Sus scrofa: one gene and its partners. The protein of the gene in region 1 purifies or fractionates together with the protein of each later gene. This does not show direct contact. Links are inferred from orthologs where the notes say so. Each region holds a gene or a part of one and is shown on either strand. Other genes may lie near its edges. The genes, in order: DBN1, HOMER1, TWF1, TMOD1 and HOMER3.

What was found.
Region 2: the proteins of DBN1 (region 1) and HOMER1 purify together in Homo sapiens (co-immunoprecipitation; 3 studies listed by BioGRID and IntAct, counting the BioPlex papers as one, with this or other methods). This does not show direct contact. The link is inferred for Sus scrofa from reciprocal best matches to the Homo sapiens genes DBN1 and HOMER1.
Region 3: the proteins of DBN1 (region 1) and TWF1 purify together in Homo sapiens (affinity purification with mass spectrometry; 3 studies listed by BioGRID and IntAct, with this or other methods). This does not show direct contact. The link is inferred for Sus scrofa from reciprocal best matches to the Homo sapiens genes DBN1 and TWF1.
Region 4: the proteins of DBN1 (region 1) and TMOD1 purify together in Homo sapiens (co-immunoprecipitation; 3 studies listed by BioGRID and IntAct, with this or other methods). This does not show direct contact. The link is inferred for Sus scrofa from reciprocal best matches to the Homo sapiens genes DBN1 and TMOD1.
Region 5: the proteins of DBN1 (region 1) and HOMER3 purify together in Homo sapiens (co-immunoprecipitation; 3 studies listed by BioGRID and IntAct, counting the BioPlex papers as one, with this or other methods). This does not show direct contact. The link is inferred for Sus scrofa from reciprocal best matches to the Homo sapiens genes DBN1 and HOMER3.

Annotation. Positions count from the first base shown.
Region 1 is NC_010444.4:80,493,472-80,496,297, reverse strand, and holds the end of DBN1 (drebrin), read right to left. Parts: intron 2,629-2,826; coding exon 1,925-2,628; intron 1,623-1,924; coding exon 1,520-1,622; intron 1,369-1,519; coding exon 1,298-1,368; 3' UTR 501-1,297; downstream 1-500. Other genes in the region: PRR7 (proline-rich protein 7), read left to right, coding at 1-24. UniProt on the Homo sapiens protein: Actin cytoskeleton-organizing protein that plays a role in the formation of cell projections. Required for actin polymerization at immunological synapses (IS) and for the recruitment of the chemokine receptor CXCR4 to IS.
Region 2 is NC_010444.4:88,243,203-88,247,381, forward strand, and holds the start of HOMER1 (homer protein homolog 1), read right to left. Parts: upstream 2,804-4,179; 5' UTR 1,148-2,803; coding exon 1,134-1,147; intron 1-1,133. UniProt on the Homo sapiens protein: Postsynaptic density scaffolding protein. Binds and cross-links cytoplasmic regions of GRM1, GRM5, ITPR1, DNM3, RYR1, RYR2, SHANK1 and SHANK3.
Region 3 is NC_010447.5:74,878,420-74,882,471, forward strand, and holds the start of TWF1 (twinfilin-1), read right to left. Parts: upstream 2,802-4,052; 5' UTR 2,696-2,801; coding exon 2,671-2,695; intron 1,020-2,670; coding exon 942-1,019; intron 1-941. UniProt on the Homo sapiens protein: Actin-binding protein involved in motile and morphological processes. Inhibits actin polymerization, likely by sequestering G-actin. By capping the barbed ends of filaments, it also regulates motility.
Region 4 is NC_010443.5:239,413,136-239,416,652, reverse strand, and holds part of TMOD1 (tropomodulin-1), read right to left. Parts: intron 492-3,517; coding exon 335-491; intron 1-334. UniProt on the Homo sapiens protein: Blocks the elongation and depolymerization of the actin filaments at the pointed end. The Tmod/TM complex contributes to the formation of the short actin protofilament, which in turn defines the geometry of the membrane skeleton.
Region 5 is NC_010444.4:58,919,946-58,922,975, forward strand, and holds the end of HOMER3 (homer protein homolog 3), read left to right. Parts: intron 1-121; coding exon 122-278; intron 279-625; coding exon 626-736; intron 737-844; coding exon 845-931; intron 932-2,059; coding exon 2,060-2,251; 3' UTR 2,252-2,529; downstream 2,530-3,030. UniProt on the Homo sapiens protein: Postsynaptic density scaffolding protein. Binds and cross-links cytoplasmic regions of GRM1, GRM5, ITPR1, DNM3, RYR1, RYR2, SHANK1 and SHANK3.

The DNA of each region.
Region 1 (2,826 bases):
TTCGGGAGGACTACAGCCGTATAGAGGGGCGCCCGGCGTCCCGGGCCCCACCCGCGGACTCCTGGCCTGATTGCGGGGCTTTTTAAATGCTTCCCTTGGACTGCAGACGTGGGGGTGGGGGGTTGGGGGGAGGGATTTCTTACCCCGTTTGTTACATTTTGAGGATAATAAAGGTGTGTGATCTGGTTTGGTACAAGCGGAGGGGCACCCACTGCCTACGCCCAAGGTTCTGGTGGCCAGACTGTGGGCCTTGGTGGGACCGAACCTAAATGCACCTCTCAGCTACAAACTGGCTTGGGGATACAGAACTAAACTTGAGGTCAACCTGCTTCAAACCAGAGGCTGGTCCCCATGGAATCCTCAGACCCCACTTTCCTTGCCCATGAGGTCTTGCTTAAAGGCACCCCCTGCAGCTTTAGATGTGGGAAAAGCTGGGAATGGGGTTAGGGCAGGCAGCCCACCCCGGATCAGCCCCTGGAGGCCCGGAGCAGCAGGCCCGAAGGGATCTGGATTTCTTTATTAACAGACATGAGCACGACCTGTTACAGAAGTTTGTGCTTTCCAAAAAACAGTTACTGAACGTGAAAAAGGAACCCAAGCAAAGAGGGAGGAGGTGAAGAGGGACCACCCATAGCCCTGACCTGAATCACGCCTAGGGCCTCCAGCTTGGGACCTGCCCAGCAGGAGGGGGCAGGAAAGGGCCAGGAAGCTGAGGGGCCCCAGCTGGGCCTGCTACTTCCTTCAGGCCAGGTGGGGAGGTCAAGAGAAGGGTGGGGAAGGGGGGTCCCAGGGAACCAGAGCCCACGAGCCGTTTATTGCCATGTTTTAAAATTCGTGCAAAATATCTGAAGCCCTGGACAGAGAATACAAAGTGATATTTTTCCAAGAAACAGAAAACTAGGAAAAGAGGTGGGGGGAACATTTTCCCACCAGAGCATCCCCCCACACAGGCCCCAAAGCAGGGTGAGGCCTCCACCCCGGCCAGCTGAGTGACCAGGGAGGACTAAGATCTACAATCTGGACCGGGCAGGAAGGGGATGGAATTTGCAACAGCGTCTCAACTACCAACGGGAGGAAAACCGGTCAACTGTACAAGTCTCCTATCAACTTTTAAAAAAAAGAAAAGCTGTAAAAGTCGGGCCCTGTGGGTAGGGAAGCGGCCAAGTCCCCGGCCAGGGCCGGAGTCCAGAGGGTGCCAGGCGGAGCTGCTGCAAGTGCAGGCACTGCGGGCCGTCTGGCCAGAGGCCAGCGCAGGTGTGAGGCCTTGGCGAGGGCAGCCTGAGGACGGGCACCACCGCTAGTCGCCACCCTCGAAGCCCTCCTCCTCTTCTGGTACTGGGTCTGCATCCCAGCAAGTGATGTCGATTTCTATGGTGTGGGAAAGGGAAACAAGTTAAGGAGGTAGCCCAGCAGATCCGTGCCCATGACCCCCTAACCCCAGGAAGCTGTGCCAGCTGTGTATGAGGGGTCGCTGCCTGTCCAAACGCAGTACCCCTGCTCCACCCATTCCCAGTTCTACCTGGAGGCTTGTTGTAGAACACAGGAGGCGGGGCCTTTGCACACAGCTCTTCCGATTGGGCAAACTCCTCCTCCTGTGATTGGCTGAAGTACCCCTCACTGGCCTGCAGGAGAAAAGCCCCATGTTACTGGGCCCCACCCAGCAGGACTAGGGCTGACCTACCAAGCCTGAACACGTTTCCCCAGCAACCCAGCAACCAGTGATTCCATCAGTGGTTGCCAGGGAAACACAGATGCCTGCCTTGGGAATAAAACAGAGTGGCCCAGGCAGGGGGAATGAACTAGAGCTGTTCCCCCCACTCCCTACAGTGTGGGTCAGAGTGGGACGGGGTTACTGCTGCAAGCCTGAGGAAGGCAGGGTTAGCCCCCTGCTCAAGCCCCTCCCACCAGGAAGCCCCAGCCCCACCTGGGTCCCCTCCTTCTGGGTGGTCTCGCCATTGGTCAGCAGGTGGGGCTCTGGCTCTGGCTCCAGCTCCGGCTCCGGCTCTGGCTCCCGATCCGGCTCTAGATCCAGCTCCTCTAGAGCTGAGGGCAGAGTTGGAGCCTGAGGGACAGCCAGCGACACCCCTTCTACTTCCTCCTCTTGGTCACAGAAGGTAGCGGGCGGCTCAGGAAGCTCATCAAAATTAAGAAGATTAGCACTGCCTTCACCTGCTGGTGGCAGTGGCTCCTGAGCCACCTCGTCCAGCAGGGGCACCTCTGCCAGAGGGACCTCAGCACCCGAGGGTGGTGTGGGGGCCCTAGGCTCAGCCTGGGGTGCAGAGGCCTCCTCCCCATTGCCAGGCCATAGGTCAATGAGGCTGGCAGCTGCAGGGGTGACAGTGTTGGCAACAGCGGTGTCAGCAGCGGCAGTGTCGGCTTCAATGGCATCAGCTACCAGGGTGTCAGCTGCAGAGGCTCCAGCCATGGCAGGCTCTAGAGGGGCAGCCAGGACAGCCTGCTCTGTAGACGCCATGAACATCAAGTCCTCCGGGGGGCTGCCTCGGCCCTGGGGAGGCTCCGGTGCCTGAGGGGGCTCCTCCACAGGGCCAGCCCAGGCCTGAGGGGCTGCTTCTCTGGCTTCCTTGCTCGTCTCTTCACTATCCAGGCCAGGGCTGGGCTCCTGGGTTTCTGACGAAGCAGAAAGGAGACATGATCAGCTCCCAGCAAAGGATGAGGGCCCTGGGCAGCCACCAGTACAGTTCCCTGCCCCCTGGCTGAGGAATCAGCCACCTCCAGGAAAGAAGGCCTCCAGTAAGACTTCCATGCAGAGTGCCTTCTAGCACCCACTGGCCCCCACTGCCCCTTTGCTAGTGTCTTTAAACCACT
Region 2 (4,179 bases), about 7.7 Mb from region 1:
ATAACCTCCTCTAAGTAACATTTCCTCATTGGCTCTGGCTCCTTACCCATAAAAAGTGCATTACCAACATTCTGGTAACTGACAGCCAGACTACTCTTTATAGAAGAAACCATTTTTGCTATCATTGGAGTAATTACTTCCTTAGCCAATTTTGAAACAGAAAAAAAAGTATTAGATAAAGAAGCTAAAACTGATACAAACATAAAAGCATCTATCCATACGTAGGAACAGTGACTGATCCTGATAACTTTGTATCGTAGATATTAGCACTTTTAATATCCTCACCCTTAAAACCCAAGAAAGAAGTGAATACATGAATCACAGAGAAACTTACAGATTTAGAAATACTCAAAAAACAAAATTTCACAATCATACCTCCCAGAAATAAACAAGGTAACACTTTAAGGAATGTCTTTCAAATCTTTGTACACATACATAGAATGCACTTTATATAGGTGAGAATACAAAATTTTGCATAATCATTTCTAACTGACCACTGCACCATCTTTGAAAACATTTTTCAGGCTAGCTTCCTACCAGATGAACAGCCTATAGTTTACCCAGAGAGCATATACTAACTACTCTGAATATACTAATACGCTACTAAGTAAAACTAAACAGCAATATTGCCATTAATGTCTTATTTCACCTACATTAACTTAGGGATAGCAATAAATATCAACTTAGCATCAATAAAACACTAAATGAAAGCAACACTGAAAACAGGGAACTAAAATTCTATATATTATCAGTTGACTAGGCAAAAAGGCAGCCTGCAAGACCTAAAACTATTTATTTATTTATTTATTTTAGCACAAAAGAACCTGAAAGATGAGTTTCCGGGTGAGTTGGGAGTCTTCCCATTCAGCCGAATGTATACAGATCCCTGGTAACACTGAGTAAACAAGAGTAGGTGGAATCCTCATTCTGTAAACATCTTGGGAGCTGGCAGGGTGATTAAGCAAAGCACATGAATTTTAACGCTAAAATCCAGATGATAGAGATTCATAACTACAGAGTAGGGCAGAAAACGACAGTTTTACAAAAGAGTAAGCAAAAAGTAAGCACAAAAAGGCAAAAGGATAGGTTAAGCCCACTCAAGTATTACAGTTGGTTCAAAATAATTGTCCTACCTAAATTCAGTCATGTACAGACTTCTCTTCCACAAAGGAACACTGACAGAAATTTTCCAACATGAATACTTTGAGCTCTTTGATAGTCTAATCCACTTAAGATAATTTCCTAGAGACCATTATGTAGAACCTAATGGGGGAAACTGAAAGTAACTAGGGCAGAAAATTCCAACTCGCAAAAAAAAGCCTTATTCAGAACAACCTTAAACTTCGGAAAGGAAACAGAAGGCAGGCAACACTACTTAAGGAGGATCGAGGCATGCTTAAAGATAAAGGTGAAAGGATCCAACAATTTATTGAGAAAAATGATCAGAAAAATAATTGGAGCATCCAGCTAATACCAAATTGCTAGGAATCAGGATTTTTCTGTACACTCAAAATGGGATCTAATTCCCCAGATCCTTTCAATTTACACTGTATATGTGTGCTCCACTAAGAACTCAGTGTTTAAGGAATCAATGTATGGTATCCAGAGAGACACAGACCGGGGTTGGGGCTCTCCCTACACTCCTATCACTGCCCGCTGACAGGGACCAATTAGGAGCGAGCCCTTCTATGGGTGGGGTGGGGTCAAGGACACTCTGCTACAGCCCTCTGGACTCAGGCATGTGAACTCCTGGATCCAGTTGTGCCAACAGACACGACATAATAAATAAACATAACCTAAAGTGACCTTATAAAGGAATGAAAGCTGCTTTGGTATCTGTGATCCTTTAGCATGGTTTTCTGTTTGTGTTTAATTCCTAACTCTTAACTTGGTAATTTTACAAAAAGCCCTCAATTCTTAAAACAGCTCTGCCTTAAGGAACTGGTGCCAACTCTTTTCAAAGATAACATAGAAATGCTTCATGTTTTATGGGAGAACATTAAAAGAAAATGTTCATAAAGCAGAACTATTTTTTGAAGCAAATATTAAGTGTTAAGGGTTTAAAGTGAATTTTCGAAAGCTAGAGAAAATGCAAAGGTAAACTGTACTTTGAAGACAGAGTATTGATTAGACTGCTAATTTTTTGGATTTTATAAATAATTTTATTTTCTGATATAAAAAAGAAAACAGTGACTTTTTGCTTTCATCTAGTAGCCTACCTTAGATAAAATAGTTACGTATTAATGAAACTCAGATCTTAACTAAGTCAAATGTTAGTTTTACATATTTAGAATTCTTTTAGCTATGCAAGAGTCATAATGGGTTAACAATTAATCATAGGGAAAAAAACCTCATGAGAAAGAATAGTTTGGTTTTTTCCTTTGTAAGGTCACTAAAAAGTAATTTAATTTTGCCCCATAAAAGTTCTACTCAATTGTACTTACCAAAGAAGTGAGATTTTTGAAAATTTTTAAAAACAAAATGAGAAATAAATAAAATACAAGTGGAGGGTCATGACAAGCCCCCCCAAAAGATAACAAAGACGTGATTAATTTCAACCTCTCCCCTAAAAAAATGTTGCCTATAACAAGCAGCATTGATAGTTGTCAATTTCATCTTTTTTATCAGGTATTTTATTAGGGAGCATAGAAATGACCAATGTGTTATTAGACTTTTGACAGATGAAAAAAGGAAAATCAAGCTACAATTAAGAGCACAAGTTCACCAATAAATCTCTTTTAAGAGTGATACTGGGAGTTCCCGTTCTGGATTACAAACCTGACTAGAATCCATGAGGATGCTGTTGATCCCTGGCCTTGCTCAGTGGGTTTAAGGATCCGGCTTTGCCGTGAGCTCTGGTGTAGGTCAAAGATGTGGCTCGGACCCTGGGTTGCTGTGGCTGTGGTGTACGCTGGCAGCTGCAGCTTCAGATTCGACTCCTCGTTGGGAATTTCCATATGCTGTGGGTGCAGCCAGCCCTAAAAAGAAAAAAAAAAAAAAAAAAAAAAAAAGAGTGATGATGGACGTCTTAATTTTATAGTATACAGAGAGGTATGTTGTGAAAAATTCAGATTTGTTTGTGCCTAAAAGTAAGACACTAACGATTTTATTCACATGTGGAAGACCATGAGTGATTAGCCTTTCAAGGGTTTTACCTACTCTTGCAATGCTCGGTAAGGTTTGAAAATTTCACCTCGGTTTTTGTAGATGGGCTAAAATGTATAGAAATACTGCTTATCACACAGCAATGCTTTTGAAATGAAAACACCTCCTGAGCCTGAAACCTTATATTGTTTCAAAAGGCACTCAACTTTCCAAACTTCAACAGAGTTTTTTTGATCTCTAGGAAAAATCTCGTTTTTTTTCATGAATCTTGCAAAATACAGGTCACTTTACTCTGTGCCCCGCAGGTCACTACAAACATGCAACACAAACAAGAAGCTGTACATTTCACTCAACTAAACAGATTCTAACTAACTGAGAAATAAAGCTATTTAAAATATCTTCTATTCAGTCACTTAAAAATTCTATCAGGAAATATTTCATACATGGAACTCATTTTCCCTACTCTTTCATCTCATGAGTTGGATTAATCCTAAACAACAAAACAACAACAACAAAAATCAAGTAAGTAAAGATAAATATATCAACTGGACACCAAAGGCCTGGGGAAAAAAACCCAAACACATGGTAAAAGGGAGATTAGACCTTTTGAGATTTAACCACCTTTTCCTTTGAGAGATTTAATCACTTTAAACTGAGTTTACAAACCATGTATAATGATACTTTTGTCAGTCTCTTAACTGCCATGACTAACATGTCTGGTAATTATTCTAAATCAACTTTCATGACTCTCTAATCCCCAAGGAGAAAAGTCACCGCAGTCAGATTTACATTGTGACTTCACCTCAAAATTATTAAATTAATAAATTAGTGTACAGAACCAAAATTAAGAAGTTCCCCTAAAGGTACCTTTCATATATTTATACTTTGAAAAGGGTATTTTTGTGTGTATGCTTATTTGCTCATGACAGGTCTACAAGTATGTTGTGAATGTTTAATAATTCTAGAGTCAAGAAAATTACAAATGAAAGAAAAAAATGAATCAATAAATGTTTTTAAAAGGATTAGGGTCTACATAATGCAATCAATGAAAATCTTTTTTTATATGTGTAGTGT
Region 3 (4,052 bases), on another chromosome or scaffold:
TATTGTCATTTTCCTTCTGTAGAGATATTAGTTAGATAAACTTTTCCATTTTACTTAACTAGTCAGTTAGGAAGTAACTACATTTAATACTTTAGTTCAATAGTTCTAAGATATGCTGCTTTATAGTATATGTTTATTCTCTTTAAGTGCGTTAATATATGCAGAACAATTGCATCTTTGTCAAACTACTTTGGTATTTTTAATATATAAGAAAAAATGGAAGGTAAATTAGAATTAGTTCTAGTTTATGAAAAGGCAAGATATTTTTCCAAAGCAAAATATTTCAAGGTATTTAAGAAATTAGGTCAATGGACTATTTTAACATATTCATTTGTGATTAAGTAGTTATAATATTAATTGTTCACACTCAAATCTAGCTGAATTAAAAGATTCTCCACCCAACAAATTCCCCTGCTTACAGCTTTATTTCAAAAGGATCAAATTATAGTTCGTTACATTCTCGCAACTTTTCCCAAATAAGAAAGGGTAGAATTATTTCAGCAGCATACACTGCAATCAAGTCAAGAAAATGGGAGAGTTTGATATCTTTCTACTCCATAATGTTAATTTACATTAATAACAATTCACAAGAAACTATTTTGGAGGGATAATCACCTGTTACTGATTTCCATTCCACAGATGCAAGCACTGACATGAGACAGAGATTATGGTACAGAAACTGAGACACAAAAAGTAAAACAGGAAGATGTCACACCAAAAAACATCTTTTTGTTTCCCTGATCATCAACCACAGAATTCAGAAGGTAAGCATGGGCCTGAGGGACATGCCAAAATGTAGAGGATTCAAGTTTAACTAAAGGCAAGTTCTGAACTTGTTTCACATTTATTAACAGTCCTAATCACTGACAATGTTTTAGAAGTTTGAAAAGATAACACCCAATATTCCAAGGACAAACAATATTTAAAAATGTTTAACTAACCATTTTCAATAGATATTTTCAGAAGCCTGTATTTTCCATTTCTTGCTCTGGCAAAGATATCTTTAACATCTTCACTTGCTGGGGAAAAAGATAAAGACAAGTAAACCTATTTTTTATATTTATGTATTAATAGTTTGTAATGCTAGAATAAGGAAAAAATGAAATACAAAGAAAAATCTTGAATATGCAGTGTTACCTTATCAGTAATTTAAATTATACAACTTAAAAGGTGTAACACAGTAGATATTGTAGATATCTACCATGTTAGATATAGTAGATACAACTAGTATATTTAATTTATGTTTTAAAGGTATATTAATTTTAATCTTCTTTGGCTAGATAATTCCATCACAAAAAATAATACTGAGAGTGAATGTATTAAAGTTTCTCAAACCCAATAAGGAACAAATCACAATTCTGAAAAAAACACCTTTATTGCTTGTTTGAAAAATGCTGAAAACATGCTTTCATTCTCTTCTGGTCCAATTTCAAGCATATGATAAATACACCTCCCCTTCATCAAGTTATTTTCTACATTTTCACATTAAAAACAAAAACGTCGGGGAACAAAAAAGAAAAAGCCAATAAAATTCATTCAAGCTTATGCTTATGATTCTACTTTTCTAGGCTGTACTTCTCAAAAAGCTGGAATAATCTCATTGAGCAAATACATATTTAATAACCTAGCCCTTGTGTTCCTATTAAAGCTTCAATTTTGTTCTAATTTTTTCTTGGGTTGTGTATTGACAGCAAAAACCACTATTTAATAGTGCTTGTTACAAGGCTCAAGCATGCAAGTCAGTAACTACATATTTATATATGGAAACTAACGCAGACAAATGAAACAATGCTTTTAGATTTGAGACTAAATATTTTGCTTGGGTTTGTGTTTGAAAGGGGAGGTGTGGGGCGGTGTCAAAGACCCTTAAAAACAAAATACAATTAGACGACATCTGAGGAAAGGATTCGTTGTCTTATTAACAGAAGAGCTTATGTTTATATTAGAACTCGTTCAGTGATCCTGAATAACCCTGGGACATATGCTTTGATTCTGATGAGGTGAGGCTTTCAACTGCCCGTTTTCAAATCAGTAAATAATACTGGGCAAATGTAACAGCACATTCAATTGCCTGCACGGGATAATTAAAGGCAGCCAGACGGATTAGACTTTTCAGTTCCCTGGGGAGTACCTAAGAAGGATCAACATGCCTCACACTCAGGATACATACAACGGTGCTGATGTTCTCATTTTGGAAGAAAATGCGGAAGAGTTTGGAAATATATAAGATTCCTGCATCCTTCTCATACTCGAAATCCTGTAACAACTCCTTTGGACCGGGAAAAAGAAAATTCGCCCGCCTCCAGCCAGCAAAAGGAGTTGCAATCGCCTCCACTGTTCCAAATCTTCCCAGCGGGATAAGAAGGAGGAAAGCTGGGCTAACGCCGGCGGCGGCGGACGGCACGCCCCCTTCACCCCGGCCGCCTCCAAAACCCAACTCCTCCGCTCGGGAGAATTTCGGGTCCGCAGGCAACGTGGCGGCGGCCGGGCCCGGGCTGGGAGGGCGGCAGGCCGGGAGCGCCCGGTCCGAGAGCGCGGAGGCCCGGATCGCCCCCGAGACGGACTCCCTGTGCTCCCCGCCCGACTCTAGCTCTGCCCGTCCTGTTGCCTGCCCGGGTCGCCCGGGGCCTCCCGGGAGCCCCTTCCCGCGGGCAATGCCGGCGCAGTTACCTTGGATGCCCGTCTGGTGGGACATGGCGGCGGCCGCGGGCTCCCGGCTCCGGCGCTGAGTTGCAGCGAGCGGCCCCGGCCGGTGGCTCCAGGAAGTGGCGGCTCCTTCGCCGGCCCCGCCTCGTCATCGGTCTGCGACCCGCCATCGCCCCGCCCCTCCCTGCGAGCCCTGCGAGCCCCGCGGCGTCCTCGCGCGCCCCCGCCGCCGCCGCTACTGCCTGCTTACTGCCACCCTCGCCCACTCCGCGCAGCCGGACTGTGGGTCCACGCCCCCGGGCCTCGATTCCTGCTCTCTGCCGGGGGATCACTCTCCTCCGTATTTGTCGCTGCTTTTCCTGCTTCAGCACGGTGACACAAAATATGATGGCTTTGGCCTCTGGGGTCTGCCTTCTAGCGACCCTGCCCTCTAGCGACCCGGCCAGCGCCGCCACTCACTGGTTCAAAGGGTGCTCAAAAAAGGAAATGAATATTTTACTGAACGCATTTCCAGCTTTAAAAGGATGTGCACATATCCTTCTTTGTTTACTCCTTCTGCGGTCTATACAATTTAACTTGAAAAGTCACTCCCTGACCCATTTTTTAAAATGATAACAGGCAGTGTCCCAACAAAGTCCCCTACGCTTTTAAATTAAGCTAATCTCAGTTAACTGCTTTTTTTAGTTGGGCACGTTTAAAGACCAGGTTTTCCTTTCTCTTCATTCTAAAAAGAGTCACTGAGAGTGAGAACATTAAGTGACTTGACTTTTCTGTGGTCAATTCTATCGTTCTAAACTGGAGCACTGTTCTGCTTTAGATTGGCCATTTACTTCTTTAATCAGGTAATTATTCAAGATTCATTAGGGTAATTTCTAAGTTCCCACAGGTGATATTATGAAAAATTATTTTTTATTTTCTGTTTTTCTGAACGTGGATTTCCCTTTCTAAGTGTAATTTTAGAAGTTACTTTTCTACTACTTTTCTAGTACTCCTAGATTATCGTTTCCTAGGTAGAAAACTCAATCTTTTTTTTTAGGACTTTGACCTGACAAGTATATGAAAGTACAGTCTCATTATCAATAAATACTTTGTACAGGCTGATATATGAATGCAAGTGAACGAAATCACTTTAAATGCAGCGTGTGTTTAATTAACTAGCAGGTGGGTAACTTTTTCTTTACGATTGTCATGGCAAACAAGTTTGCTGTGCTCTGTTCCTTATTATTTAAGCTTTGTTTCTTAAATGCAGCCTCATTCTGGAGTAAGCACAATTGAATTTTATAACTTATTTGGATTTAAGAAATGTACGGAGGAGTTTTGGTCTAACCAAATTCTTCCTGACTCAACAGTTCACCCTGATTTACCAGTTTTGATAGCAGTGTTGAGCACCTGCAATTTTTTTGCTG
Region 4 (3,517 bases), on another chromosome or scaffold:
TCGGCTGGGGCAGAGATGCAGAGAGGGACAGATGAAGGGAAATTGCAGCCGCAACTTGAGGGAAGGAGCAGAAGTCTTAGGGCAGAGACAGGGCCCCTCTTGCTCCTGATTTGGAAGGGACGGGCCTGGCTGGGACCTCAGGTTCTGATACCACTTGTGGGGGGAGGGGACTGCATTAAATCCACCTCCTGCATCGATGCCTCTGGAGTTGGGTTTATGACTCTGGGCTAGGAAGAGATGAGGGCAAGGAGGCCCGGTCACATCTGGCCCATACAGCTGGCTCTCCGTGCCGCCTGGGGAAGGACGCATTCAACAGCGCAGCAATGTTCAGTACCTCGCTTCTCCCCTGTGTAGGGGACCAGATCTTCTCGGTCCTTAAACTCCTTTGCTTGCTTTTCCAAGTGATCCAAGAGCTCCTCCCTTTTAAAGGGGCCCGTGGGCGCCTTGGTGGTCTGATCCTTCTGCCTCAGGCCTGCAGGCAGCAGTGCATTCTATAGTGGCGGTGGTGGGACAGGTGACACAGAGAGAGAGAGAGAAAGAGAGAGCAATCAGCTGCGGAAGACTCGCACTTCTCCAGAAACTCATCAGTGAACGATGGGGAGCTCTGAGCTCAGCTAATCAATCCAAGTCACTCTTTCACACGTGAGGAAACTAAGAGCCCAGGAGGTGCAGGGACTTGCCCCAGGTCGCTGGCAGACAGGGCCAGAGAGAGGCTAGGATTCAGGTGTCTTAACCAACCCTGCCTCCCAGCTTCTAATTTTTTTTTTTGTCTTTTTGTCTTTTTGCCTTTTCTAGGGCTGCTCCCACGGCATATGGAGGTTCCCAGGCTAGGGGTCGAATCGGAGCTGTAGCCACCGGCCTACGCCACAGTCACAGCAAAGTGGGATCTGAGCCACATCTGCCACCTACACCACAGCTCACGGCAACGCCGGATCCTTAACCCACTGAGCTAGGCCAGGGATCAAACCCGCAACCTCATGGTTCCTAGTTGGATTCGTTAACCACTGCACCACGACGGGAACTCCTAATGTTTTTTAAAGGTGAGGGGATGGGGGTTGTTGGGGCTGAGCCTGGCAGGGTGCTCCGAGAGCACCCGCTGAGGGAAGAATATGATTAAGTTGGTGTTTGGACGCAGGAGGGTATTTCCAGCTGCTGTGTATAAAGCGCTTTCAGGCTGCAGCCCTGGATGGCTCTACCAGCTGCTTTCTACCCTCCTGACTGTGGTGCTCACGCATGCAGGCGGGCTGTTAAATATTTTGAATGTTGCCCCTGGAGATGCGCCTCTCAGGAAAGATAGCATCAACCAATCCCTGTGTTTTCATCTTCAAACAAGGGCAGGCTTCTAGGTGTGGGCTGGCTACCAGCGGCAATTCCTAATCGGGGTGGATTTGAGTCACATGCGCTTCACTTCACTTAGTATTATGGAGAGTCAAAGAAGTTTAGGGGTGCAAGGATGCTCAGAGATCATCCTGTGCACACACGCTCCCTTAGGGAGGAGACTGAGGCCCAGAGCAAATAAAGACTCACCCAAATCTAGGACAAAACTAGGGTTCTTCTTCAGATTAGGGGGGAGAGGGCAATCTTCAATCAGATCATCGTGCCCTCCCCACCTCTTCATTCCAGGAGGTCGGGAGGATATGGGGAGGCTGATGAGAGCAGAATCTTTTTTTTTTTTAATTGTCATTTTAGGGCCACATCTGCTGCGTGTGGAAGTTAGGTCCCCAGGCTATGTGGGGGTCGGCAGCTTGTGGCAATGCCCGATCCTTAATCCACTGAGCGAGGCCAGGGATGGAACCCATGTCTTCAAGGATGCTAGTGGGGTTTGTAACCTGCTGAGTTACAATGGTAACTCCCTTACCTCACTTCTTGCTGCACCCCCAAGCAGGCTACACTGGACCGCCATTCCATCTCCATCCCCCATCCTGGTACCAGCAAAATGTGCATCTTCTGTCAGTCACTCATATGCCAAAGCCCTTCCTAAAAGCCCCCTCTGAGAGGGAAATGCAGTCAGGTGTACGAAGAGAGCTCTGTGCCTGGCACATAGACGGATAAACTGGGGGCGAGGAATTCTACCATTTAACTGCAGTATGTCTTATTTATTTATTTATTCATTTATTTATTTTTGTCTTTTTGCCATTTCTTGGGCTGCTCCTGCGGCATATGGAGGTTCCCAGGTTAGGGGTCTAATCGGAGCTGTAGCCACCGGCCTACACTAAAGCCACAGCAATGTGGGATCTGAGCCGTGTCTGTGACCTACACCACAGCTCACGGCAATGCCAGATCCCTAACCCACTGAGCAAGGCCAGGGATCGAACCCACAACCTCATGGTTCTTAGTCGGATTTGTTAACCACTGCGCCACGACGGGAACTCCTGCAGTATGCTTTTTTTAATAAGACAGTTTACCACTATTCAACACCACAGTGCTGTTCCTGTAAGAGCAATGGGTGTCAGATCCGGAGACCAGAACGTGAGCCCAACTCTGGCGGAGGTGAGATGAGCAAGGGCCCGGCACAGTGAGTGGTACATGCAGGAGCTTGGAGGGCGGGCCTGGTGTGCATGCACATGGGTTTAGGTCACAGGTCAGAAGAGCCATTTGGGAGCTGGAGCATATTATGAGACGATGGCCAGCAGCTAGAAAAAGCCTTGACTGATTTAGGGACAGGAGTTGAGAATATATGTGGTGCCCCAGACACCCTGGTTTTCCCTAAGCAGCAGTATTCAGACACTGTCCAACATGCTATGAAGGATGGCTGATGGTCCACAGATGATCCACGCTTCCATGGGCTTGTTCCAGGTGAGAGAGGATTTCCTGCGGCTATTGTGTGTGTGTTCTCAGTGTAAGTACATTTACTGTCGCTCAGCTGAGAGAGGGAACAGCCTAACTGCCCCGTAAATGTCCATCTGTGTTTACCCATGAGGAGGAATCAAATTCTGTGACATGCCAGCACCTCACAGTTGACCCCACACTGGGCTTAAGCTCTGTCTTAAAGGAATGATGTCTCCAGTGACATGAACTTGGGCAAGTCACTGCATCTCACGGTTTCTCTGTTTCTACGGCTCTAAAATGTGAATAAGGAGAGTCGCTCCCTCAGAAATGTTGAGAAAATCAGATAATGCACAAGAGTGCTTAGCACAGTGCCTGACACGGTGAGCACACAAATTATTACTGACTATTGTTGCTGTTCTATAATCAGATAAAATACAAATACATATGTTGGCCAGGGGGTATGTTATTCAAGTGTATCTTAAAATTTAAACAATGAACTCATATGAATATAAAATGAATTAAGCATGGAGAGCAAGTGTTTTCCCAATGATCCTCAGAAGGGAAGACCTGACCGATTTTTGTCACCATAAAGGATTTGGATGGCAGTGAGGGGCTGGGGCACACTCCGGCCTCTGAAAGGCTGAGTATTGTGACTGGGGAAACATACTAGGTTGTAACTGACCGGGAAAGGGTTTGCAAACTCACATCTTTTGAATAGATCTGATAGAGGCCACTGATTTAAAGTAAG
Region 5 (3,030 bases), about 22 Mb from region 1:
GTAGCCTCGAGGTATCTTGACCCCGCCCATAACTACGCCCCCTAGCACAGCACCGCCCTCACCCGGTCCTCCGCCCAGTGAGGCCCCGCCCTGCCCTCTGCTGACTCCAGTGTTCCCGCAGCTCGGTGGGCGAGGTGCAGTGGGAGGCCGAGTTCTTCGCGCTGCAGGACAGTAACAACAAGTTGGCGGGCGCCCTTCGAGAGGCCAACGCCGCCGCCGCCCAGTGGAGGCAGCAGCTGGAGGCCCAGCGCGCAGAGGCCGACAGGCTGCGGCAGCGGGTGAGGGAGCCCCTCCCTCCCAGAGACCCCAAGTGGTCCAGGCCACTGTGAAGTCCCTGCGCCCTGTCTGTCTCGGGTCCGCTGGCTGGCTGTGTGATCTCCGCAGGTCTCTTCCCTGACCTGAGCCTTAGTTTTGTGCTCTGTAGTATGGGTCTGAAATAATGTGAGCCTCAGAGGGTTGTCCTACCTTTAGGACCCTAAAGTCTCATCTGCCAGAGTCAGGGTGGTGGCCCCAAATAGAAGGGGTGAGTGCCCAGTCATGGGCTTGACTGATCAGGAGGCATATTCCCCACGGGTCAGCAGAGTACAGACTGGGGGTCAGGGAACTGACCCTCCTATCTTTGCAGGTGGCTGAACTGGAGGCCCAGGCTGCCACTGAGCCACCCACAGTCACTGAGAAGGAGGGGCCGGGCCAGTCTCTGGAGCAACTGGAGGCACTAGTGCAAACCAAGGACCAGGTGTGTGAACTGTCTGTGTGCATGTGTGTTTCCTTGGACTTTGCCTTCCCTGATCTCCTATGGGGGAGCCAGGACCCTCAGAACAGATCCTGGGAACTTCTCCACCAGGAGATCCAGACGCTGAAGAGCCAGACTGGTGGGACCCGAGAGGCACCAGACACCACCGAACGTGAGGAGACACAGCAGAAGGTGCAGGTGTGTGTGGTTGCTGTGAGGGTGGGATGACTGCCTAGGGCCCCCAGCCCCTGGTATGGGACAGACATGGGATCTCCCTTTCCTGGTGGGTTCTGGGCAGCTATGTGCTTCCCTGAGCCTCAGTTTCTTCATCTATGAATGCAGTCAGGAAGACATCTAAGGTTGTGAAGGATTCAGGTGACCAGGTACATGGAGGGATTGAGTCACAGTGGGTGGTTTATAAGCAAGTTATTAGTATAATATTTCATCTCATTCCTTTCATGCAACCAGCAGTTTTGAGTTTGTTTTGTTTTTTTTGTTTGTTTTTTGCTTTTTAGGGTCACAGCTGCAGCATATGGAAGTTCCCACGCTAAGGGACAAACCAGAGCCACTGCTGCCAGCCTACCCTACAGCCACAGCAGTGCTAGATCCGAGTCACATCTATGGCCTACGCAGCAGCTTGCAGCAACGCTGGATCCTTAACCCACTAAGCAAGGCCAGGAATCAGACCCACCTCCTCATGGATACTAGTTGGGTTCCTAACCCACTGAGCCGAAGCAGGAACTCCCAACAAGCAGTTTTTGAATCTCTGTTGAATCTCCATTCTTGACCCCATCAAATCCTCACACATCCCCAGCCTGAGGTTGGGAGCCTTCATTTGTACCCATGTGCGGCTGGCCTGGCTTTCACTGAAGACTTTATCTGAGAAATGTTCCTGGGGGCATGTCCTGTGAGTCCAGCAGGTAGAGAACTTAGAGGATCTCTTCTGCCCCCAAAGAGAGAGAAATTGGGAGAGGGATGCTCCCTGTTTTCTTCTGGGCAGAGTGTTCAGCATGTGCAAAGGCCCTGGGGTGGGGTGGGGGAGTCATTATGTTCAAGAAACCACAAGGAAGCCAGCAAGGCTGAGTTGGAATGAACAAAGAGAGGAAAGAGGGCTATGTATTTCATTCCCAGCGTGATAGGTGACAGGAGAGTTTTGAATAGAAGAGGAAAGTGGTCAGTTCAATGATGTTCAAGTTGGCAGGGGGACCAGGGAAGCCAGGTGACATAGAAGGTTTGGCCCAGAGTGGAGGCTGTGGGGATACCATTGAGATGCTGGACCCTTCAAACTTGCTGGGGCCCCCAACCCTGCTTGCCCTCTCCCTGCAGGACCTGGAGACCCGAAACGCGGAACTGGAGCACCAGCTGCGGGCAACTGAGCGCAGCCTGGAGGAGGCTCGGGTAGAGCGGGAGCGGGCACGGGCCGAGGTGGGCCGGGCCGCGCAGCTGCTGGACGTCAGGCTCTTTGAGCTGAGTGAGCTGCGGGAGGGCCTGGCCCGCCTGGCCGAGGGCGCGCCCTGAGTCTGCCTCCGGGTCTACGTGGGGGCAGGGGTGCCCACGGGAGCTGGTTTTACATGAACGATTCCCGCCTGGGGCACGGGCCAGGCCGCAGGCGGCACAGTGGGCCATTCACCTTGACAGGGACTGGGGCCCAGCTCAGCCTGGGGAAGGCCTGTCCACCGTACTCTAGTCAGCCCCGGCTGTTCACAGCTCGGAGGCTGTTTTTGAGCTTTTCATTGTGTAGAATTTCTAGACTCCCTGGGGTGCATACCAGTGCCCACATTACATTTCTAAGCGTGGCTGTGTGTGTGTGGTGTGTGAGCCATGGGTACCTGACCGCCGTCACTGGGCCCTCTGTCCGCCCTCAGTCTGTATAGGGCTTGGTAAGCCATTTGGAGGGCTCTGCCCATGTTTTCTGGACCAGTTTGGACTAAGGCAGACCCTGCTTAAGCCTGCCCCCCTTCGCTCTGGCCATAAACCCCCAATGCCACCAGGTGGGCGGGTGGGGAAGCTCCTAGAACATGGCTGTGTTCGCTAGCATGTGATCTCGCCTAAACCTCACATCTGCATCTGCAGAGTAGGGCACTTGCTGTTCCCATTTTCCAGATGAGGCCCATATAAGGGGCTTCACCAACCCAAGGTCACCTAGCTGGAATGGTCAGCCCTGCAGTTCAAAGCTTTGGGGCTGGTCCAGCAGAATGAAGAACTTGAGGGGAGGGGTGGGGGCGACATGATGTTCTGAGGGGCTGGAGAACCACAGGCGGCCACACCCTCCTCCCTCTGCCCCCTCTCCCTGAGAG